Coturnix japonica: one gene and its partners. The protein of the gene in region 2 interacts with the protein of the main gene of each other region in a pairwise test. Links are inferred from orthologs where the notes say so. Each region holds a gene or a part of one and is shown on either strand. Other genes may lie near its edges.

Region 1 (4,195 bases), on a different chromosome or scaffold from region 2:
TTGCTTTATGGTCAGCAGAGATTTTTCAAACATAGCCACACAATGAAACAGAAGTAAATGGGAAAATTACTTAGAAAAATAATTAAAATCAACAACAAAAAATAACAACAAATGAGACTTTTTCTCCTTCTTGCAAACTGGAGCACTCTGTATTAGTAAACTGAAGGCACAAAAGAAATATTCTGAAACAAGCAAACTGAAGTGTGTACAAAGAGGCAAAAAGTACAGCAGTACTGCCATCTACTGATCTGAGACCAGAAGCTGATCGCAGAAACTTGATAATCTCACCTCATGTAAGAAAAACTTTATTTATACTTTTATGAAATCAAAACAAGGGATGCAGGAAAAAAATAAATACAGAGGGAAAAAAGAAACACACACACACACACAAAATAACCAACCCTGTGTGTCCAACGTTTAGTTATCCTTAAAATAACCCCTTTAAGAAGCAGCACAAATCATATCAAGTTCCCAACAGTTATTTGGTTTATTAAATACGGCCATACAGAATCACAGAATCACAGAATTACCCGGGTTGGAAGGGACCTCAAGGATCATGTAGTTCCAACCCCCAAAGGCCACTCTGTAGCTGAGAAGTGACCATACAGATTCTCACCAGTCAAACCTCAGCCTAAGCCGTGCTCCCAAAGGCAAGGGAGTGCATGCACTGAGGTGAACAATGGCTCCAGACCTGATCGAAAAATTTCACAGAGCTCATGTCAAAAGCAGGAAGCAAGTGATTTGAATTAGAGATTGAGCTAGCAAGTTAATCATTTTCTTTACTTGCGTTTAATAGGAAGTGACTGTGTTTGTTTCAGTGTTTTGCAGTAATCTCAATGACATGACCATACCTCAAAACTGTTATTTGGGTTATTACTCTAACTCTGAAATTGACAGTTAATGGTAAGATTACCTACGATCGGAGATAGGTAAATTTCACATGGATAAGAACACATTATCCAGAAATCAGACAGGCTTCAGAGTTTATGCTAGGTCATATTTGATGCCATTCTTGATTAACCCCTTCTTGCCTTTCAGTAGACACTCCTGCTAATAAATGACAAAAACAATATACTTAAGAGCCTGAAGGGGCAACGTAGTAGGAATGTAGTAGGAATACTGATCTCAAATGCTATTAAACTTCTCACGTTTAAATCATAATATGCATATCTATTTCACTTAAATGCATGAAGCAGAGTAATGGTCACATACACCAGTGATGGTTACATGCAAGTTAGCAGCCTGCCAGAATAAGCAGCAGTCAGTTACTTATTTCATAGAATCGCAGAATCACAAGGTTGGAAAGTACATAATCATCTAGCCCAACTGTCCTCCAATCATCATTGCTACCACAAGCCACTAACCCATAACTTGTAGCTCCTCATCCAGACACCTCCTGTACACTGCCAGGGATGGCAACTCCACCACCTCCCTGGGCAGCCATTTCAGTTTCTGACCACTCTCTGAGAAAGTTTTTCCTTATGTCTAATTCACAGTCATGATCCATTCCCAGTGCAACCACTGCTTCAAACAAAATGTTACACCCCAGGCTGCATTAACTGAGACATAGATACAGAATTCTACTGAATGTAGTAAGAGACCAAGGGGGACTGAAAAGCCCAAGAACTCATACAGGTTTGACCAAAAGATGCTAAAAACAAAACAAGATGCACACAAAAAAGCAGAAGATAAATTAGAACGGCATCCTACTAAAGATGAAGTGAAGCTGACCTAAATCAAAAACACACCATTTGTTCTCTAAGTACACGAAGTATAAAACTTTCATTCAAAGCATTTCTGACATTGGTTTATTCTATGTTAGAAAGGGAGAGAAGGCCAGGGATAAAATTCAGAGCCTGCAGGGAGGTGCCAGAGGGCACACAAAGCCTCACGGGAGCCAAAGGAAGGGCACCAAGTCCGTCTAATCACCAAGTATTGAATGATCCTCTTGAAGTCCAAAGAGAGGCACATAATATGCAAAAATAAATATAGGAAGAAAGAAGCCTCCCACAGTTATTTCATACTAATAACAAAAACAGTAGTAATCGAGGAGTTGAAGATATGCTGAGGTGCAACAGCTCCTGCACTTCCAGATGCTGCTTTGCAGGGTGATTTTTTGTTATTGTTGATCTATTTTTTCCCCTCTCTTTTCAAAAAATAACTGTTTTCTGGGTTGTTTTTTTTTGTGAGATATCATGAATCGCTGAAATCAAGGGTAATTCACTTCAGCGGTGCCTCCAGTGTCTGATCTGACGCCGCAGCACCGCCTGTCAGACAAAAGCCGGTCCCCGATGGGAGGACGGTCACAGCCCGCAGTCGCTGACACCGGCACCGCACAGGTTCCCCAGGTGGGAGCCGGGCACCCGGACCCTACGGAGGCAGTCGGGCAGGGCAGCCGGTGACTCACCGCGCACAAGAACGCGCGAGCAGCAGCCAAAAGGAACATACGGCGTGCCGGCCCGGCCTGTTAGCCGCAGTGCTGCCTGCGGAACCCTCACGGACCGAGGTTATCGCGGCTTCGGCCCGGAGCCTCTGCCCACCCTCACGCGTGGCACCGAGGGGCCGCGGCAGCGGTGCGGCCTAGGCGGCCAGCTCGACTCTCTGCCGGCTTTTCCCGACCCCACCGGCTCTCACCTCCGCGTCCACCCCGCGGGTCCCGGCCTCCCGCAGCGCCCCGAGCCCCACACCTGCCCCAGCCGCTTCGGGCCCGCACCGCCGCAGTCGGACCGGCAAGCGAGGGCGGCGACGGCTGCGCTACGGCCCCGCCGCCCGGCCCGGCCCTCCGGACACTCCCTCCCGCCGCCGGGGACGACGGGTGACTGCGCGGCGCCGTCCCGTCGGCGCGACTACAGGCGCCTGCCGAGCACCCGTTGCTGCGGATCGGCCCCTCCGAGCACCACGGGCGGAGCGGCAGAGCCGGCCCGGAGGAGAAGGGGCGAGCCGAGCCCCAAAGGCAACGAAGCGGGTGACCGCCGGCCCCAATGCCGACTACGAGTCCCGGCAGGCTCTGCAGCGAGGCGCCTGCGCCCCGCATTGCCGCTCTGCGGTGCCGCCCCCCGCCACGCGTCGCCACGTCTCCTGCGGGGCGCCCGGTGGGGGTGGCCGCCCGCTGTGAGATGGCGCCGCGGGGCGGGCGTTGTGACTGCCGCTTGGCGGGGCCATTCTGCTGTCCGTGCCGGGGAACCTCCGGCCGGGGGGCTTGTCTCTCCTGCGGTTCTCGTGGCGATAATGCCGTGTTTATTCGTGGCCGCTGTGGTAGAATAAAGCCACGAACGGCCGGGGAATGGTTTGGGAAGGGGTGCTGAGCCGCCGCCTGAAACTGACTGAGTGACGTTAATTTTTCCAAATGGAGATTTTCCTAGGAGACGATTCATAAATGTTGAATTTTATTGATTCCTGCCTGACTTCCACCGACTCTTTGGTAGGCGGGTTAATTAATAGCATGTTCAGGAAACAGTTTCTACCATGGAAACATAATTCTTAATTTTGCTTAGTCAGTTTTTTTCAATTGCTTTGATTCTGACATCTGACCTACTGGAGGCATTAGGAAAGGCAGTAGATTTATTGACTACCTATCTGCAAGAGAAAGGGTGGGCTATAAACCCACAGAAGGTGCAAGGACCAGGCCTGTCGGTGAAATTCCTGGGTGCAATTTGGTCAGGAAAGACCAAAATACTATCCAGTGCAATAACAGGCAAAGTTTAAGCATTCCCAATCCCTACTGTGCCAGGGCGGCAGCAAGAATTTTGGGGCATATAGGGATACTGGTGTTCCTTTATACTTCACTTAGCGCAGTGGCTGAGGCCTTCATACTGACTCCAAGGAAGGCCAAAAGTGGGACTGGGACTGGGGAAGAACAGAACAAGAGGCCTTCTAGCAAGCAAAACTAGCTGTTAAACAGGCCCAGGCACCCTTCCAGCCAAACTAAATCTCCATGTGCCTCAGGACAAGTTAGGCTGGGGCCTACAGAAGTGCTAGAATTCCATTCGAACCCCAGTTGGGTTCTGGTCTCAGGTCTGGCCGGAGCAGAAAAGAGGTATAATATGATTGAAAAGAGTTACTGGCTGCCTACCGTGCATTACAGACAGTAGAGCCAGTAACCCAAGCAGATGAAGTTACAGTTAAGACAACCTTGCCAGTTCGGAGGTGGGTGAAAGGTCTGACCCATGTTGGTAATACAGGGGTGACCCAAGCA
Region 2 (3,500 bases):
TGTCTAGAACAAGACAACAAAAATGCTTAAACAAAAAAATCAAGTTAGTCAGATGGAACACACATAGACTGAATGAGGTGCTCAGCTTCAATCAGAAGGTGAATATACAAGGCTACCATGGAAAGCATCCTTCAGTACTCTCACAGGTCACCCCTACTGCCACAGCTGGTGAAAATAAGCTCAGCTTTTTATTATTATTATTATTTTAACCATAAATTTAATAAAATTTCAAATAAAGAATGCCTTCCCTCACTCCAGCATGATGCTTTTTCCAAAGAAGGCACTACAGCTGACCTCAAAGATGGAGAATTTTCTACACGTAAATACCTAGTCAACTTTTCCAATCAACAGCACTTGCACTTCTAAGTCAGTGCCAGTTAATTAAACTTATCTCTCACCTTCACTTCCAAATTTGCACCAAAAGCCATCCGAAATTCCCCATTGAGCCCTTTGTTGAACACCCGCTGGAAGGTCTGCTTGAAGAGAGAAGTGTTGAAGGAATCTCCCATCACCATGTGTCCTCTGAGAAGGAAAAAAAAGCCACGCAAGGGAATTGAAACAATTGAGAGCTAGAAGTATATCACCAAGGATACAAACCCCTCCAACTCTCATGCACTCAAATACAGACAGAAACTGTTTTAAAGCATGCCTTTGCATAGGTAGAATTTGCATCAGGGAACATATTCATGGATGCCTCCAAAGCCAAACAAGTTAGTGCTCCACCTTTGCCAGCTTGCTTTCTAAGCTATGTTTCTTGTCATCCCTTCAGCTGCCTTAAAAATGCTCCTGTTTTCACTGGTTACAAACAGCTCTACCCAGAAGAGAGCTTTGCTCAGCCTACCTCCATTAAGAAAGCAAAATGAGCTGTTAAGCATGAGGAAATCTGGCCAACACAATGAAAGCATTTACCCACCATGCCTGAAGCTCTGCTATTCTGATAGCATTTCAGTCACGCACACACAACAGAGGGGATCTATGTCCCACCAGTTCTGCAAAGGATCTTCTTGCTACCTGCCAGGGCACTTGAAGGAGACAGAAGGCATTTTTGCAAGACATGTTGCATCATGCTTTAGAATACCTTTCTCCAAAGCAGGACATTGAGTTTTCTACCAGCAGTGTTAACTCTTACGCTACTTTGAGGCTTCAGAAATGTGGCCTGGGATCAGGGGAGGTTTACCATGTAACTCCTGGTAAATTCAAACCACAATTTAGAATAAAATGACACAAATCTCCCCCTTTTGCTTTCATAGAAAACTAACTGCTTTCCAAACTGTTCTCCCCCTCCAGAAATAAAAGTGCCACCTTTGTGTTTCCTGTTGCAGACATACCCAGTGAGGTTTGCACAACATTTCATCTCTAGCAGTCCAGTCTGATCCAGGGCGCAGGCATAGATGTCAATGCAGTGCCCATTGGTGGCAGTGCGATTGGCCAGAGTCTCATAGTGCTGGGGAGAACAGACAACACAAACAACATTAAGGAATATGAAGGAATATGCCTCTAAGCTGACAGGCACATTTCACACCTAATATTTTAACTATTCTTTCATATGTTAAGAGAAAACGGAGCCTTTTTAGAAATCACCAGTTCTTGGAATACAGGCTTGTATTTTTTCCCCTCTCCTAAAGGAGGTAAAAGGACCTCCGCTCCCCAGCAGCCAGATGAGAACACTGAAATACTTCTGAGAAGGCACACGACCATACTTGGAGAAGTAACTAACAATAAGACTCTCACCCATCCTTTGACCATTCTCATAGCTTAACACACAGAAAGGCTCATGCATTTTGTGAACATCCATGCAAATGTCTGGACATACTAATTCCATATAAAGAAAATAAGACTTCCATGACCTACAGAATGATACTGGACAGCTGCCTATATAGGTTTGGGTCATCTCCTTCCTCCCAACCCCATTCTGTATTCCAACACTTGCATTTGTATTTTGCCTTTAAGCACCCCCTGCACACACAACAAGCCTAAGCTGCTGTGTGTGTTTTCTCCCCCAGCTGACACCAGCACGTACCTTGGTGGCCTTCTTCATGAACCTCGCGTTGTCCTTCTCTATGTCATGCCAAGAACGAATGGGTGTTTTCAATTCATCTCCCACCACCATGCCTGGTCCCTGTGTTGGCGGACCACCTGTAAATAGCATTATTCTGGCTCCTGTGTTTGGAAACGTGCCCTAAAATAAAGACAAGATCTTATATTAGAACTCAGGGAGAGGACAGTGGTTTCTTTACAGAGGAATCTGTACGTTATTCTGCAACACCATCTGGGACCTATCTCTGTTACAGGCAGGCCTGAAAAACAGCAAGACATTTCCTGACAGGCACCCTCTAGGTTAGACTCAAACTACAGCAATCATCACAACAGGAAGCAGGCAGTTTCAATTCTTTTTACTTCAACCTTAGATGACCCATGCAAAGAAACAACAGAAAGAATCACAGTACATACAATCACCTTCACATGGCAATATATGTAAGAATTAGAAACCTTTAAACACCTGCACCTTTCACACAGTTTACAGCTAAATATAAATTCCTATAGCCCACTCTACACCAGCTGGTGCTAACTCATGCCACACATCAGCACAGACAAAATATGCCACTGCATCTCAAAGTAACTGGGCTGCAAACCAATGTGCACTGAGACCTGTACATGTCTCAGCAAAAACTGCCATGTGCTTACTTTGACCAGCTCATCCCTAACAAACAGCTGCAATAAAAGTACCTCTAGCAAGCCAACTGCAATCGAAAGAGCTACTCCAGTGGAACGCAAAGGCCTCTTTCCTTGGGTCACTGGCCACGGGTCCCTTTGAAGTTCTCCAAGGAGATCTGTTAGATTCATATCAATCTTATGTACTGGCTGCAAGAACCTGAAAAATTGAAATGTTTTCCCACTTTAAGTGTGCCCCTGTTCCTAGCACACTTTAATTACACTGGAAGACTTAACAAAAAGCAAAATGTTACATAGCACGTTCCTTTACGTCCAGACAATCCAAGCTAACAGGCAAAGTAACAGAATTGATCAAAGGAAGCCATCAGGAACTGACAAGAAAGCAAAGTCACTCACAGCACAGAAAAGGACCTTAGTGGTGATTTAGTCCACCAAAAGGTAGAGGAGCTGCCACAGGAAAAGAGGAGTGGAGAATAAAAGCAAACAACTGCATTCAACAGAGGCAAATAGGGCTTCACTGTTCAGGGGTCACTACCTGCCCACCAATTGTTGTTTCTTGTGGTTTATTTTACTCATCCAAGCAAGAACTGTTACTCATAAACAAGGACCCCATGAAGTCGTCAACCAAAAAGGTTCCTGCTCTAAACACATTTGACCCCTGAACAATATGCTTTCTGAAGACAGCTATGCTATACTTATCAAGAAGAAATCCAGTCTGACTAGCAATGATGTTCTTGTAACTGCAAAAACAAGACACCACAGAAGGCTAAAACACTGCCCTAGTAAATCTCACCCACTTGCATCACTTGATGCAGGACAATAACTCT
Region 3 (4,241 bases), on a different chromosome or scaffold from region 2:
GTTTGTCCCGATGATCCCAACGTGTTAATATGTAATACCGTGAATTTTCCTACGATAGCAAATATTGTATATTTGAACGATTTTTTTTTTTTTTTGTCATTTATATTTGTCTTGGAACTCATTTGTAAGACCGTGTCATAAATTGGGAAGTATGTAACAAATTGGGAAACTTTTGTCGCATGACGTATCGTTCAGATCTCTGTATAAATCCGTCTCGAAGGTTTGGCTAAAGTTGATTCAAACAATTGTATGTTACAATGTGTTTCGATGTGTTCGTTGTGAACATTTGGATATGCCGTGTAAGTATTGGAAGTGGAAAAAAAAAAAAGAATCATGTCTGTGAACTCTCTTTGGAAGTGATCCCGTGTTCAAGTATCCCCCACGATAAATGTGTTTTATGTCACACGGAAAAATAAAGATGCTTGTTGACAATTAATTGTGCTTTTTTTGTCTGCTTGGTTTTTTTAATTAGAGAAACAGTTCGAAGGAAGGAGAAAAAAATAACCAACACGCACAAATAAAGGAATTCGACCACACTGTTATTATTATTATTTTTTCCCCTATGAGCGAAAGGAATAAAATAACCCGAGGTGACGAATGGACAGTATTCAGTCCAGTTCTCTATTTTAACTTTGGTTTGTTTTTTTTCCTTTCTTTTTTTAAGTTAATGTATTTATTTCTCCCAGCGCGGTTGATTAATAAAGCGGAAAGCTTCTTTATGGCAGGGCTTCCTTCCACCGTGCTCCGGGGTTCCTCTAGAAAGCCCGAGCCCGGCCCAGGCGGCCGTGATAGAGCCCCATTCGCACGTAGGGCAACCAGATTTGGGAAGGAGCAAAAAAGTGATGGGCGAAACTTCCCGGGGTTGAACGCTCGGCTGAGGACGGGCGGCTTTCCGAGGCCGAGGGACACGGGAATTGGGCTTTCAAAAAGAGGGGGTAAAACAGCCCCGCTTTAGGATAGATATCCGGATTAGATATTCATTCTGCTGTGTACCACGCGAAAATCGAGGCGAGAAAGTGCTGTCAACGATGAAAAAAATAAAATAAATAAAAAAAAAAATGTCAGAAATGAGAAATAAGAAATTAAAAATAAATAAAAAATAAATAAAAAATTAAAATAATTTTTAATAGCCCGAAAAGTCCCTTTCTGAGGGCGGCCGAACGCAGTGTAGAACGGGAGCATCGTCTGAGCTGAAGTTCCCCTTCACCGCCGCTCTCGGTCCCCGCCGATGGACTAATTGCCATTTTAATAAAATTAGTGCGAACTCCAGGTCTGCTTTAAAAAAAAAATAGAAAGAAAATCCGGGGCTGCCTCTGTGGTAAGATGGCGCCTCTCTAAGACCTGCCTCTTCTTAGTGATGAGGAAAAGGCCATAAATCCGTTGTTGTTTATGAAAATTTACAACTTTGCAATACAACTTTATGAGTTGTTCGGTTTTTCCATTGGTCGTTGTCGGTCATGTGGATGGTAACCGTGAACATGAACTTTTTTATAATTTCCCTTGCGAGAATAGAGCCGCATTCTTTTGCTGAGCTCTGTCCTGCTTCGGATCTCTCTGGCTTTCAATCCCCATTTCATTTGCTCTTTGTAAGGCAATAGTGAACAAAGTGTGCGGAGGTTCGGCATAAGCAGCCGCCTAGAACACAGATCCGGGATGGCAATTTCCAGTTCCCCCGCTGGAAGGTGTGGCATATTGGATTCAAAGCACTGGCGTGGCAGATTTTCAACTTGCAACCTGGCTAATTTCCTGCTTCTTCTGGCACCAAAAGGAGGGCGATTCGTCTCCTGTGCAGCCAAAGCGACAGCTGTCAAAGTCGCAGGGGCTCCTGTGAGCCAGAACCTAAAAGGTGAGAAATGTATATGACACTGCCGTAAGCAGGGAAACATGCTTTAATACGGGGAGATATTAGACGTGTGCAATTAAAGCGAATGGGGGAATGTGAGCGGCCAGAAATAGACGCGGTCGCAGCTCGGCTCCTTTCGGTTTAACCTGTGCATGCGGAGATGCTGAATAAAATGCCGATTTGCTATTATTTCTACGGGAAGCGTGGATTTTTCACCAAGTTTATTTCTGCTTGCGTTTGCCGGGGGGTCGCTGTGGCATTCCGATTATTTTCTAAGAATTCAGGTTTACAGCATCAATCCGGGAGCATTACTGTTATTATTATTATTATTTTTGCCGGCGCGGAGGCGGGGGTGTGTGTGGGGGGAGATGATTTATATATGTATATAAAAGCAATATTTTTCTTTCGCAGCATTAACTTTAAGCTCCATCGCGGCAGCTGAAATTTAGATGTGATTTATCTGTGATTATTTTAAGTCTGTTTTGGATAGGGGGTGGGGTGGTGGAATCACGGCACAACGCTCCTGTGTCCGGGGGAAGGTTCTTCCCGGAGCACGGCTGTGCCTTTGGTTGTCTCTCTCGGCTGCTCGCCGCGGAGCCGTGGCGCAGCGCTCGGGCGGCGGCAGCGCTCAGCTCGGCTGCGTGGAGCAGAGAGGATGGGGGAGCCGGGGCTGAACCCATTCTCCCCTCACTGTGAGAGGGGAGAGGGTGCGAGTCCCCTCCCTACAACCCCCGGGGAAGACTCTCGGGCCCCCGCCGCCGCCCCGTGATGGTGACAGCCATCACGGGTGAGCGGCTCGCAGAGCTGTTTGTGCCGCCGAAGCCTCGCATTTGCATTGCATTGCGGTACCCGGCGGAGTGGGGCTGCGGCGAGCGGCGGATTATTTATTGCAGGCGGCGGTGCTCAGTGCTGCCACGGCGTGGCCGAGCCGCGGAGGCGGGCATCGGGAACGGGGCAGCGCCGGGAGACTGCGCCGCTGCTGCCGGCGCAGCGCAGGGGCTTAACCCCCGCCTCCCCTCACCCATAAAGATATATATTAAAAAAGAGATATATATTTTAAAAAGGAAATCCTGCCTACCGCACCTCTATGGAGCATCGCTCCCTTGGGCCGATGTTGCGCTGCCCCCTCCCTTCGTTGTGCTCTCGGTGTGTGTGTGTGTCAGCTGGGGGCGGCTCTCGGTCTATGCCCTCCAGGCCTCTCCCCAGTGTCCCTCGGGTCAGAGCGGCCGCTCAGCCGGCCCGGAGCGCTCGGATTCGAGCTCTTGGTTAAAGGGTAGGGGGCTGGGGTGGGGGACGCTGCCGAGCAGATAATGGCTTGTAAGGGGGTTTGTGTACGAGGAGAAGGAGGGTTTTAGGGTTAGGAGGGGAAGTGCCCCCGCACCTGTATCTGTGAATGAAGAGAGGGGGACGCGGGACGCGGGGAGCTCTGCAAACAAACATACGGCCCGGAGATACCGGGGACTGAAGCATGGGGCTCTGTGGCAAAACGCTGCGGCTGCCTTCTGCTTCCCGGCAGGAAAACTGCAATGAATGTGGCCGAGCGGGCAGAGCTCGGGGTGCCGAGATTCGGGGTGCTCGGGGGCGGGGGGAGGAGCGCAGAGGACGTGAGGATATGAGACTGTGATACTGTGAGAGCAGCACAGAGCGCAGCGCAGAGCGTTCGGCTGTCACCGAAACGGCTCGGCCGCGGCCCGGCCGCGCAGAAGGGAACATAGAGCGTCTTTCGATATTATGGGGGCAACGAAGATATGCTTTCGCTGCTCGCGGCCGGGGTTCAGATGGTCCGGTTTGAATGCGAGCGATAACTCGAGGGAGAGAAGGAAAAACCAAAAGGAAAAAAAAAAAAGAAAGAGAAATAAATCAATGCATAAAGCAAAGCTGCAAAATGTAAATAAAAGAGCCTTGCGCGATTTTTAAACCTCGGTCTCCGTGCGATGGATTCACACAAAGGCCGCCCGGCCACAACTTTTTAAAGTAGGGCCGCTGCGCTCCGCTCGCCCCGAATATTGATGTTTCACGGCGCGTTTTCGTTCTGTTCCACGTTTTTGGAAATGCTCTCGTTTTAAAGCTCTTTGTGCTCACCGCGCTGTGTGCCGGGCTGCTGCCGTTCCCCCTTTTTATAGCCCTATTTGCAGAGAGTACAAAACTTTCCTGGGGAAGGCAAACACTCGTTTCCCAATGAGCCCGCAGCTCAGAGCCGGGGCTCTGCCAGGTGTGGCCGCGGGTCGGCCGGCACCGGGAGTTTAAGGAAGTTGAAAAAAAATTGGAGGCAATCAACATCTGAATGTGAAAGTCCAGCTGAGGCCGCGAACAATACGAACTATTGTGGGGCGACGTTTTAACTCGCTGCTGTTTTATAGGTATCGTAATCAGCCCCCGGAAATGAGATAAATAGTCC

Evidence for each region. The genes of interacting proteins can lie anywhere in the genome.
Region 1: the proteins of SEC23B (region 2) and PRRC1 interact in binary tests that used the Homo sapiens proteins (3 or more experiments, as listed by UniProt). The two-hybrid records come from large-scale screens. The link is inferred for Coturnix japonica from reciprocal best matches to the Homo sapiens genes SEC23B and PRRC1.
Region 3: the proteins of SEC23B (region 2) and HOXA3 interact in binary tests that used the Homo sapiens proteins (3 or more experiments, as listed by UniProt). The two-hybrid records come from large-scale screens. The link is inferred for Coturnix japonica from reciprocal best matches to the Homo sapiens genes SEC23B and HOXA3.

The regions. Positions count from the first base shown.
Region 1 is NC_029547.1:50,254,307-50,258,501, reverse strand, and holds the start of PRRC1 (protein PRRC1), read right to left. Parts: upstream 2,801-4,195; 5' UTR 2,688-2,800; exon of another isoform or gene 2,635-2,687; intron 1-2,634. UniProt on the Homo sapiens protein: May act as a regulator of the protein kinase A (PKA) activity during embryonic development.
Region 2 is NC_029518.1:13,391,556-13,395,055, forward strand, and holds part of SEC23B (protein transport protein Sec23B), read right to left. Parts: intron 2,873-3,500; coding exon 2,728-2,872; intron 2,180-2,727; coding exon 2,021-2,179; intron 1,445-2,020; coding exon 1,329-1,444; intron 523-1,328; coding exon 399-522; intron 4-398; coding exon 1-3. UniProt on the Homo sapiens protein: Component of the coat protein complex II (COPII) which promotes the formation of transport vesicles from the endoplasmic reticulum (ER).
Region 3 is NC_029517.1:29,870,869-29,875,109, reverse strand, and holds the start of HOXA3 (homeobox protein Hox-A3), read left to right. Parts: upstream 1-1,441; 5' UTR 1,442-1,653; coding exon of another isoform or gene 1,654-1,846; intron 1,847-4,241. UniProt on the Homo sapiens protein: Sequence-specific transcription factor which is part of a developmental regulatory system that provides cells with specific positional identities on the anterior-posterior axis.